Linked DNA regions of Drosophila melanogaster. The protein of the gene in region 1 interacts with the protein of each later gene in a pairwise test. Each region holds a gene or a part of one and is shown in the gene's direction. Other genes may lie near its edges.

Region 1 (7,649 bases):
CCGCCATAGGATTACTTAACACCTATGTATAGTGCAATTCATTATTTTAATTTCTTCTCGCTTTCTCAACTCAAATCTAAAGTGCAAACTAAATCGGTTCAACTGAAGTATTACGAATTGGAACAACTTTCAAAACAACTGCTTACATAAATTAGGTACTTAATCAGCTTACGAATTGCCACTTATTTTGTTTGTAATGTAATTAGCCCACCAGCCAAGAATGAAAATAACGAAACGGAAGGAAGTCTTAAGTTCAATGACATTGTGCAATTAATAATCGTACATACTTATTTCACAACCCAAAACTTAACAACGGAAATGAAGCGCAAACGAAAACAAAAGTACCCAAAATAAATCCAATTGATCTCATTATGTGATATTTGTCGTAGTGCCCAAAGCGTTCACTGTACGTGTATCTATAACCAAACCATACCATATGAGTTAAGTACAGGGTGTGTACATTCGAACACTTTTGCTCTAAGTAAACTTGCTCAAGCCATACCCATCAACACCAATGTCTTCCCGGAACCATGCAACTTTTCAAGATGTCAGCCCTTAATGGACCTACCTAAACGTTATAGATACAATTTAAATGCAACACACACACACACACACATATAGATACATATATATTTAATAACATGTAAACATACTTTGATTCATGGAAGATCTTGTAAATACCGCGTGTGTACTCTCTATTGGAAGATGGGGAGTCTAGACGAAGCTACACCGAGCTCCGATATATATATTTTTTTTTTGCTCTTTGTTAACGATTTTTGTTTTTGTTTACTATTTTATTGTTTAATACTTTAAGTGTAACAATATGGATATGTGTATATATCTATATATTATGTACGTATTTAAGTAGTCAAAAGCAAACAAATTTTTCAAATATTTTCCAAAATGTTTCAACGTATCTTCATCAGTTAAGTGGAATTACTTAAAAAATGTACTGTACTTAATTTACAAATAGTTGATATTTCTGGTGCTTACCGGTCGCTAGAAGTTTGCCTTAAACTAGATCCCCGTTTTTTTTGGCCAACTGAATTCACCAGCAAACCAATTAAATAATTTGTTCTTCGCTTAAAAAATTTGTTTTTTTTTGTCAATAGCTATGATTTTATTTAACATTGGCAAGTTTAGTACCTATTTTACATAAAATAAGTTTATAAATTAGAAGAAAAAAACTACTAAACCGAAAAATTTATTGAATAAACATGAAAGTTGTAATGAAACTATAAATGAGTTTAAGTGGGTCACTTTTTAAAATTCTTTGTGTTTGATAAATATTTGCCAAAAGGGGAATATAATTTATATTTCATAAGAGAGGAGTCACCATGCTCCCCGCCTGCTCCATCGTCGCCTCACAATTCCCCAGATAATACGGCTAACGAAAGCAGCGCCATGACAACTGTTGATAGGTGCGAATAAGTGAGTGGAGTGGAGCGAAGCTGAATGAGTGGGTGGGCGGGTTGGTGTTTCATTCATGAATCCGAGATGTTCCGAGTGGGTGTCGGTACAGGCACAGCAGGGTGGTTTGATTTCCTTCAACAGACCGCTGTTAGCGACGAGTCCTTAACAGCAAAGTCGGGCTGAGCTGAGCTGCTGTTTGAATATCTGAGCTCAGTCAGTTTCCGGCCGTCGTTCGGTGCGGATCGCAGAGGCATTCGTAACGCGTCTTGTTGTGCGGCACCAGAAAGTGAAAGAAACCATGTCGGAGGCTACCATTGAGCTGGACTCGAGCATCGCCGTGGCACCCAAGTGCTCCAATGTGAACAACAACAATAGTGCCCGCTCCAGTCGGGTGGGCAGCTCCATCTCCGGACCGGATTCGGATGCGGAGTGCCAGCGATTTGGATGGTGCGGCTGGAATCCGGCGTGGCTACAGCGCTTCTGCACCGCCAAATGGGCTCTTTTCTGGCTCTGCTGGGGCGGTGCTCTCCAAGGTGATATATTTTCTCGTTCCGAATTGCTTACTTAATTCCATTAAATGGTTCGTCGCGCGAATTTTGCGCCCACGCTCGTTTGCTTCTTGAATTTTGTGTACATCTCTTCTCGGTTAAGCGGTTAACTTAATCATTGTAATCACAGTGGAGTAACATAGTTTTTAAATTTTAATATTATAAATATATATACATATAAAATTATCATTTGGATATGATCATAATAACAAAGACAGCGATTAAGACAATGAATAATTTATGTAGAAATGTTCTTTACTTTTTCAATATGGTTTAAAGTCTTGAAACAACATTGGTAATCTAGAATAATTAACTTGGCTAACTTGTCCTGCGACTTAAGAGCTTGGAATAATATTTATTTGCACGGCAGACACCGATCCACCTTTGCCATCTGGAGTATATTGAATCAACATGGCCATATTTTTCTTGATTACAAGACAAACTTTTGCTAAGAAAACTTTCAGCGAGCCTGTGTATCCGAGAAGTCTCGAGTTGGCCAAGACAATGCAATGCGAAGGCGATGAGGACATCCGCATCGCTTCATTAGCATCCTGGGCATTCTCAGGCTCGGCCAGCAGGACTGTGTGCAACAGATAAGAGTTCGCCCAAGGAGTTGGGCATGGAGTTGGAGCCCGGCCGTAGCTCCTGTGAATGAAGGCGAATTAAAAATTAATAATGCCTGGAGCAGTCGGGGTACGGATGATGCTCTAGCCCGAGGATGCATTAACCTCAAAAAATCACCGCACTTTGAATAGTTTGAAAGAGCGACTGGCAGTGTAAATGGACCCAGTTTTGCCAGCGATTTCCAAAGGATTTGGTTATGGGCGCCCCAGTCCCTTGAATATGGAATATGGCATTAGGCGGGGAGGAGGCGTGATCCGGAGAGCGAGAGGGCAGCGGCATAAATCAAAACAATGTTAATCGCTGTTTACCCAACACCAGATCCCCGGCTGAACCAAGCCGGTGCTGGTACTGGTTGATGCCCATGGCTACGGCCTAGCTTCGTCACCAGTTTTCCCACTCCTAATGGGTTCAAGCGGTTAATTAAAATTCGCCAATTTCACGAAAGCTGACGACACGTTTATGGCTGTTCCGGGGGATTCCGGAGATTAGGCTGTGTTCCAGCGATTGAATGAAATTTGCAAAAGTGCACTCGGCTCTACCACTTTTGGATGGCTGCCAGCGAGCATGGAGATGCAAACGTGAGGGAACACTATGCTAGAAGCCAAAACTTGATTCGATTATTATCCTGTTTTTCTTAAGGCTAATCCTTGAGGAAGTACTTGATCCATGAGAGGCCTCCAAAGACCTACTTTTTTACTCTGCTGTTTCAGTTTTTAAATAGTTCATAAGGATATTAAGGCTTTAAGGATTCTTAATGCTCTGATCGGTTGAGGAGGGCTTCACGCGAACATCTCCGCCAGGATGCCGACCCAGTATTTATGCCTTGGCCGTGTGCTGTAAGCAAACTGAGTCCATCCATGCAGTTCTTGCAGCTCGAATGGCCGGCTGGCATCTGTTGCACTTGGCCGCTGGATGGGATGGAATGGAATGGGCTCCTGCTCCCGCCTCCGACTGACCCACGACGTGCGAAGGCTTCCGTTTGGATGTGGGTGACACAGAGTTGGAACAACCAGCCGGCCGCCCGTGGCTCGGCTTACGGATGCGGATGAGGCGGCACGTGACCGAAAATATTAATCAGTTGACACGGCATTAACATAAATCATCCGCAACAATTTTGGATGGTCGCGTTCGTCGTGCATCCAGTTCAAATGGTTTATTGTTGTTTTTATGGCTACGAGTTCAGCGTTTTCCTATGGAAATGAGTAATTTAGGCGTATAATTCATATGCATGAATTAGAAATGGCAGTTATGCGGAAGATGTGAACATGTGTATATTACGATTCTAGAGATCAACTTTGATAAATGCATAGGCAGTAATCTTCAGATACATATATGTTATTGTACTAATCAGTTAGTTATACTCTTTAAATTTTTCATAATTTCATGTAAATATCTTTACTGCTAATTAGGCAAACAATTTGTATCTTTGTGCATCGCACGCATCCCAAGGAAAATGCATCGATGCACATGCAAAATCCTAGATTGTCACGTATCCAATACAGCCGTCTACACTTCACTTTATACTTCAAGTGACAAAGGTCACATTCGCACTCGCACTCCCGAGTAAAACCTTCCCCGTCTCAAGGTTTCCATTGGGATCTATTAAATTATTGCACTTAGTGGGGTAAATGACTTGTAAGTGTCCCCATCCACTAACAATATATCCAATGCTCCCTTTACAAAGTTTCCTCCGCTTTCTAACACCTTTCCAGCCAAAGATGACCAGCAGACCTCTTCTTTCTGGCGATTATTGAAAAATAAATTGAATTTGTTGTAGAAAAAAGAAATATTCTAAGCAACAATGGACTAGCAGGTGGCGGGGGTGGGCGGGCCCGCAACTAACAGATATTTATTTATGATAGAAAATTCGCCTAAGCCCTCAAAATCAATTTGTCGTGCAGATATTTAATTTATGACCCGCCCCCGTGGCACTCAATTCCCCTCCCCTCTGCACTGTCAGCAGGACTACACCCGCCCTCACCCTTACGGTCTATTTTTTTTGCGACAATCTGTTGATAGTCTGCCATGAAGTTACAACATACAACACCATGTCATAACTCTGCCTCTGGGGGATGATCCTTAAAGAAGGATGCCAAAATGTTGAGCGAAAGGTGTCTTAGAGATGAAATCCTATCCATCTTAAACTTCAATCCATCTTCGAATTAGTTTAGTTTATATTTAATAGATTTATCCAATAAATCTGACATTTCTTGCCCTAAAAAGCTTGCTACACATTTTGCAATGGAAGAAGGCATCCACTTCGAGTTTTACTAGAGGATTATCTATCTAAAAAATCCAGTCGCCAATCTAAATATATAGTTTTTCCTAGCATTCCATCTTCATTACTAATGTTTGAAAAGTTTATTTTCCCTCCAGGTCTCATCGTGAACGGCCTGATCAATGTGTCCATCTCCACCATCGAGCGTCGCTTTGGACTTCGCTCCCGGCAAATGGGACTGGTGGCCAGTGGCTACGATCTGGCCTCCTTCGCCTGCCTAGTACCAGTTACCTACTACGGCGGACGACGTGGTGCCTCCAAGCCGCGCTTCATCGCCATCGGACTGATTGTGATGGGCATGGGATCGCTGGTCTTCCTGCTGCCCAATTTCCTGGTGGGTAACTACCGGGCCACTATTGCCGAGGCCAATGTGTGCGAGACAACGGGATTGCCGTTCAACTCCAACTCCAGCCAGTCGATGGTAAGCAGACACTTGCCATGGCGACCCGCTGCGATTAACTCGTATATCCTTGCAGACCGCTTGCGAACTGAACGCAATGGGGGAGGGGCAGAGCGAGAATCTGACCTGGACGGTGTGGCTCTTCCTGGCCGCCCAATTGCTCCACGGTGCCGGAGCATCGCCCCTCTTTACGCTGGGCGTCACATATATCGATGAGAACGTCTCAAAGAAGATGTCATCTGTTTACTTGGGTAAGTTGCAAACGACGCAGCCGTTGATAAGACGCGCCGAAACTTTTGTCTGCCGCAGTCGCACAACAAATGAAGTATGCACAAATACCCACACTTCTGGGCAGGATTGGGCTGGTGGTGTCCTGGCTGCGATATCAAAGTATCTGCTAGTTTCGCTCACACATGCATATTTATTTTTATTCGCCTTATTGCCAAACGACGTCGTCGGCTACAAAGGGAGTAAATACTATTTGCTATTTGCTCTTGCGCCCCCCGCCCAGAGTTCTCAGTTCGATCCCAATCCTGGCGAGGGTTCTCCGCTCCTTTCCCCCCTCGTTTGACCCAATTTTAAAGAGCCAGATTGTTGCTGACTCAGTTGAGACGCGGATCTGGGAATGGGGGCCAGAGCCAGCGGCAGCTGAAATTTATTGCCTCTTAGTTAGGTTTATCGTGCCATCCGAAGACGACAGTGAAATTATCAAACCCGTCCAGCATTGCCGCTTTGCCTTCCTGGATATCGCTGTCTGGCATTGAGACAATTGAAATTCGCTTCATCCCGGGGAGGCAGGCCCCCCTTTTGGGGCTGATGGAGTAGCTCCAGGATGTGATGGCACGGTGCGTTTCAAAGATAAATAAATAAAGGCACAATCCGCCGATTGGCTACTCGCTTCTCAATAGTTTTTGGCACATCCAGCTAATAAACATATTGCATACTGGGCAAGATTATCGAAGCAACTATCTTTGATCTTGAAATATCTTTATAACTTTGAAACGTACTGTACAAACAGGAGTAGCAGAATCAAGACCTTTTTCATGCAAAATAAAGATGTGACTAACTGATAATGATAATTGGAATAACTTTTGAATTCTTGACAAATGGCACATCCAATTGTTCGTAGAGTTAAAGTTTAATTGAGAAGTTCATTGTTGCAGGCATCTACTACACAATGGCCACCGTTGGACCAGCGATTGGCTATGTATTCGGTGGACAACTGCTGCTCATCTATACGGATTGGATGACCGTGGATCCCGTTCAGTAAGTGCATCTGATAAGCTCGCAATGATTGTTATTAATCGGGCGACTTAGCGCCAACGGATGAAAAAGGGAGTGCTGATGGAGATAAAGAGCAGGTGACTTTAATACCGGCCTTGGGGGAGTGGAGCATGGAAGGGGAACGGGAATGGGAATGGGAATGGGGGTTTCGATGCTGTGGAGCTTATTTGTTACCCGGCAACGGCAAATGCCACAAAGCACCTCGCCGTGTAAATATCTCCAGAGAGTAATAAAACAACATTCCCGCTGACAACGAGGAAATAAGGTGCGAATGAGAATGAGCATTTGTTTGATTCACCTTCACGGTGGGCCGTTGGGTGGTGGTTGGATGGTTGGATAGCTGGGAATGGAGCAGAGTCGCACCAAAACGGAAACCCATCTACATCCCAATCCGGCCGGATTCAACCGCATGGCTTATTGTCAAGGTGATGCCATAAGTCATAATGTCTGCTCAACCTTAGCCCTCCAGTACGTAAATAATGTCGGGAACATGGAAATTTTGTTTATGATTTTGAACATGTTTACGAGTGGTTGGGCTTATATTTTTGGAGCCATTTTAACAAAATATGAATTGACGCCAAGTTGGAAACATCATAGGTATAGCCATTCTGTTTGCATTCATTTCTCTGGCTTTTGATTTGAATACTTTAATCGATTTAAACTAATCACCTTAGTAAGCTAGATCCTTTCTAATATTGAGTCAATCTTGGCCCCTTGCAGACTCAGCCTGACCAGCGACAGCAAGGTGTGGATTGGAGCCTGGTGGCTGGGCTTCATTTTCGCAGCCGCCATGTGTCTGCTCATCGCCTTGCCCATTTTCGGATATCCCAAGTTGCTGCCCGGCGCGGAGAAGTTGCAGCTGGAAAGGGTTTCCGAGGCACATGCCACCATATCGGAAGCGGATGACTCCAGTAATGTGGTCAGGGGACTGCCACGTGCGGTGCTCAGCCTGCTGGCTAATCCCACCTTCTTTTTCCTGAACCTGGCCGGTGCCACGGAGGGTCTGGTGATAGCCGGATTTGCCGCCTTCCTGCCCAAACAGATCGAGAATCAGTTCAGCATTTCGCCCATGTACTCGGCATTGGTGATGGGTCTGATTACG
Region 2 (5,264 bases), on another chromosome or scaffold:
TCTCCACGCTGCGCAACTGTTGATCGCAATTCTCCTGGTCGATAATGGTGTTCAGCTTGTGCAGAATGAGCGGCAAACGAGCTAGCATGGGATTTATCTGTGGTTAAATTAGAAATTAGAAATTGTTTCATAGATGTATTAATGCATTAGATACCTTGGGCGGGGGCAACTCATCGGTGTCCATCGCGTTTTCGTCTACTATCAAATCTTCTGCGGTGGAAAAGGCGTACTTACGCAGCTGAAAGTGCTCACACAGACCCGCCAGTGCCTCGCACATAAGTTCCGCATTGGCTGGCGGATAGGCACCCTTATCTCCCAGGCTATTGGTCACGATCCCAATGAAGGATGTTCCAAATTCAGCGTTGGCTTTAGTGATCCTTATACCGTATGTCAGCACCCTACGGAGATCGCGGGTGCACTCCGACCGCTTGGCCGTGCAAAGGAGCAATCCTTCCATGTGCAGGTTGACCATATGAAGAATATCGTCCACCTGCTCGCCGCTGCCCTTTTTTTTTAAACCAAATGCTACTAGAACCGACAAAACTGCCATGGCCTGAGTGGCGGTGGTGTAGTCGTCCAGCTTGCTAATGCACTGGATGCACAAACGGAGCAGGGCTACGCGATGCTCGCGAAGCAGCTGCTGGCAAGTAAGCGGGCACTCGCTTAACTTCAGCAGGATTGAGAGGAAGAGGAACTGCTCCTTGGAATTGGTACACAATTCAAAACGATCAATGAGCGCTTTGATGGCTGGCTTGGGCCAGGCATGAACGCTCTGACGTCCGGCCAACTCGTTGAAAGATCGCAGCACCTGTATGCGTACTGGTGTCCTTAAGTCCTGCATGAAATCCAGCAGAACATCCAGCTGACCGGGCACTCCCACCAGCGTTCGTGATGACAATTGAGTGAGCGTGTCTATGATGGCCACCACAAAGCTCTGGGCTGGATATTTGGGCAGCAGATCCATGCACAGTCTGCTAACCAGTGACGCTGTGGTAGCCTCGTGATGCATGTGTCGCAACACGGGAATCAGGAGCAGCTTCATTGGCACCGGCACCTGAAGCGATTCGATCATGTCCGAAATCTTGGCGCACATGCTGATGGCAAAGGAACTTGACTGGGCGGCAAAGCAGCTGCTGGCATAGATGGCAGCCTCCACCTCGACGGTATCGTGGCTATCCAGAGCACGTCGAATGGCATGATGAACCTGTTGCTTCTCGGGAATCACACGGGAAACGGCGCCCAAGGTGCGCAGGAGGAGAGCACGCGCCACCGGATCGTTGGAGTGCATCACCACAAAGATACAGCGCACAAAGCTGTCAATGTTGAGGATCTTGTCCAGATGATTCTCGCTCTGCTGGCAAACACGGAGCACCCAGAAGCGCAGCAGATTCGATCCGCTGACAAAGTAATCGGCCAGCTTAATGAACGACGAGTTGATGAGAATGGGAAACGGATACTTCTCGAAGAGGCGCGGAAAGCGGACGACCGCCTCGCACTGGATTCCCTGCTTGGTGCTCCGCAGTCCCTTGTCCAGTTCCATGAGCACCGCATTCGAGTCGTGCTCATTTTCGTTAAGGAAGCTCTCGTTGAAGGTGCTCACGCGGGTGCCGGTCAGGTGAGACATGGTTACAGGTTTCCTCACTCACATTTATCGCAGATAAATCGTGTTTATTGAGGTTTTCATTAGCCAAACGACACAAAAACAAACCGGCTGCAAATGCTTCTTCTTGCTAATTTGTCGTTCGTAGGAAACTCCGGTATCATTGCAGCGATAGCTGGTCACTTAACAGTAAAAAAAACGTTTGAATCCAAAGTCTATATTGTCAATTCTTTATAAGCGTTTGTCGATCGATAATAAAATTATCCTGATTTCTAAAATAAGAAAAAAATCAATTTAAGAAACAACTATTAACTTAGAAAATTATGTAGAAAGTGATGTAGCCTATTATTCTCACTCCTTCTTTGTCTCTGTGTAGATAATTTGCAAATCTGCTAAGGTCACACTGCTCGCTATTTGTTGAATTTGTTAATGTTTTGAAATTATGTTTGTTTTGACTAAAGGCACGTAAAAATGGTCTAAAACACAGAGATTATTAGTTTATTCATTTTTTAAATACTCTTTATAGATGACGAAAAGTTTGTGTTGTTTCCTGGCAAAAAGGTGTACACCATTGGTCGCCTGGCCACGGATTTAATTGTTGCGCAGGACCTCAGTATAAGTCGCAATCATGCCCAGCTGCTCATCCAAACGGAAGCGGATGGCGATGACACCCTGCATATCGAGGACCTTGGCTCCAGATATGGCACTTTCATTTTCCCCAAGAATTCCCAAAAGCCGCGCAAGGTGCCTGCCAAAACATCGACTCCATTGCCTGTGGGCACACGCTTGCGATTTGGCGCAAACATGAGCATTTGGCAGGTGACCCAACTGAAGTTGGTTACAACTGTCTCCGCATTAACGCGTTCCGAGGTCCAGGAGCTCACGAAGATGCTTGAACCCATGGGCGGCACGGTCACTTCGAACTGGACCGAAGAGTGCTCCCATCTAACCATGAACGAAGTTTCGGTGACCGTGAAACTACTGCACGCTATGCTCGAGAATAAGCCGATTGTGACATTCCCCTACTGGCGAAAGATGCTGCAGGCAGCGCAGAGCATCCATGTCAAGGAGGGCTGGCCTCAGCCGGAGGATTACCAGCCCACCAACATAGATGTCACCTGGCGTCCTGAGCGTACCCGTCTCTTCGCCGGCAAGACATTCGTCTTCATGAACCGCAAACACTTTGATATGTACGGATCAGTTGTGCAGAAGGCTGGAGCCACGTGCAAGGACATCAATTCGGGTGTGCGCAAAACATTCCTAACAAAGAGTGATGTGATAGTCATACAGTATGTGCCATCGTCCCAGTCGCAGGCCACTGAATCAATCAATAGTATACAAGATAGGTGTAAATATATTGCTCACATCACAGCGTTTAAGTATTATTATGTATTATAATTTTTAGATATTTTGGAACAGAATGGTCGACGTATTATCCAGGAGTACGAGATTGGCATGGCCCTAATACATTGCTCTATAACAGAATTCTGCAACCCAACGCACAAGTTCATCTCCGATTCATTGCCCACCACGGAGTCTGTAACTTCCTCGATGGCCTTTAACTCTTCGATCATTGTGCCCAACACGGAACGCCACTCGGCGCAATCCAATGCCACGCCCATTTCCGAACTGGTGGTGCCTGAGTCAATTGAATGTGAAATGGAACAAGATGCTTCTAAGCCCCATTCGGAGGACCAAGCTTCTTTGCGTAAGCGGAGTCATGCCTCAACAGTTGACTCCTCGGACGAGGAGAAGAAATCAACATTGTCTAAGCGAGCTAAATCGGATATCGCTACGAAACTGACCATGAAATCAAAGAATGCCATATTGTTGGACTCGTCTTTGGAAGAAGATGTGACACCAGCTCCGGCGCCTGCTCCAGTTCAACGAGTAACAAGGCAGAGCAAAGCCATCGCTGAGGAGAAATCCGTACATCCACCTGTTCCAGCTGCGAGTAAGCACATAACACGGAAGACCAAACAGGTTTTTTGTGTTGACTCATCGGATGAGGAGAACGAAAATGCTCGGAAACCAAAAGAAACGCCAGCTCCAACTATCCCTTCGATGGCCAAGAAGAAAACGGAAGCACCCGTTGCCACCAGGATTTCACCACGACTCAATGGGAAATCATTGGCCACAAATATTACCAACCAACCGGCTGACAAACATGCAGTGCCTGCAAAACGTCCTGTTTTATCGGTGGCCTCGAGTGACGAAGAAGATGAAGGGGACCTATTTCAATTCCGTAAATCTCCACAGAAGCCAGCAGAGACTGTGGTTCAGCCAAGAATCGCAGGCAAAGGCAATGCACCTGCCAGAATCAGTGTAGTCGACTTTCTAGAGAAATCACAGGCACAAGAACCAGCTCCAGTGCCACCCCAATTGGAGTCCCAATCCCAGACACAACCGCGCAAGCGTTTACGCCTTGAGCTGCTAAACGAAAGCGACAGCGATGATTGTGATAATCTTTTTAACTTTGCAGACAGCAAAAAGAAACGAAAGACGCAAGAGGCTCAGAGAAATGATGACTCCACGGATGGCTTGTTTAACTTCAACTCTGAAAGACCGTCTGATCATGATGACGAGGATTCCCGGTTAACCGAACCATTTGTACCCGAAACGGAAAGCAAGAAGCAATCCAAGTACATAGTGGCACCGCGTAGAGATAGACCCAAGAAAGTGGACATCAGTGGTTGGTTATCGTGTAGCAGGCTAAACGATAATATCAAATCCGAAATAGATGCAGACTCAGTTAAGATGGAAACCTCTATTAAGGCGGATCCCGATGAGGAGCAATGGCTGGCCGCCATGAAAGACAGCATTGAGGTGCGCATGTGCAACTTAAACATTGTCATTCGCTCCCAGGAGGAAGTGGATGCTTCTCTTGAGGATTCTGTGAACAAGCATGGCGGCCGCAAGAACTTTAAGAAGTTTGTAAAGGTGAGTCTCGAATTAATAACAAATATTAAAACGACTTATTTATTTGTGTACCTCTGTTAGACCAAAAATCCTCATCCCCAAAAGCGAATTGTTGCGCTTAAGAGTCTTCGGCTGGCTGATGGTATGGTAACCTGTGTTTAATGTCGTGCCTAAACGTAATTAACCGTCGCTTGTGAAGTTACTTTATTTTGCTAACAATAAACTTGCGAAATATGTTCAACGCCTTTTCCGGCTCCTTGGACAACTTGCGATTGAACATCGTCTGTGCGGCCAGCCACTCGTGCTTGGCTATCTTTCTGGTAAAACAACTTTCTGGAGGAGGATTCAGTTTCCTGGCCTGCGACTCGCGTTCAATGAACTTCTGTGCATCCGCCACCGTGGCCAGAACGTTTTCATTGAATGTGGGTTTCTTTGTATCTTGAACGGGTGTTTCCTTCCTGGCAATTATGGTGCCCACATCAGATTTGGCCAACAGTTTGGCTTTTTCTACTTTGGTGACGACTTTTTTCGGTATCAGGACAATGTCTGGTGTTTCGTCTTTCTGCGTTTGGTTATTAGTTCTCGTTGGAGGTTCTAATCTGGCAGGAAGCTCTTGATTCTCCGCCAGAAACTTGTGCTTCTCCACCTGCGGAAAGTTAGCAATCTGGGGGCGCAGTTTGTTGTAAAGTATGGCACTTTTGCCGGCCTGCAAGGAGCTCAGTTTGCTAATCTTGGCAATGGCAGC

The links. The genes of interacting proteins can lie anywhere in the genome.
Region 2: the proteins of Oatp26F (region 1) and nbs interact in a two-hybrid assay, tested with the Drosophila melanogaster proteins (one large-scale study listed by BioGRID).

Annotation. Positions count from the first base shown.
Region 1 is NT_033779.5:6,626,381-6,634,029, reverse strand, and holds the start of Oatp26F (organic anion transporting polypeptide 26F), read left to right. Parts: upstream 1-1,622; 5' UTR 1,623-1,711; coding exon 1,712-1,946; intron 1,947-4,961; coding exon 4,962-5,284; intron 5,285-5,339; coding exon 5,340-5,514; intron 5,515-6,426; coding exon 6,427-6,529; intron 6,530-7,267; coding exon 7,268-7,649.
Region 2 is NT_037436.4:9,719,902-9,725,165, reverse strand, and holds nbs (nbs), read left to right. Parts: upstream 1-1,971; 5' UTR 1,972-2,042; coding exon 2,043-2,061; intron 2,062-2,126; coding exon 2,127-2,948; intron 2,949-3,005; coding exon 3,006-4,540; intron 4,541-4,600; coding exon 4,601-4,681; 3' UTR 4,682-4,718; downstream 4,719-5,264. Other genes in the region: defl (deflated), read right to left, coding at 1-97, 155-1,624; CG14174 (uncharacterized protein), read right to left, coding at 4,719-5,264.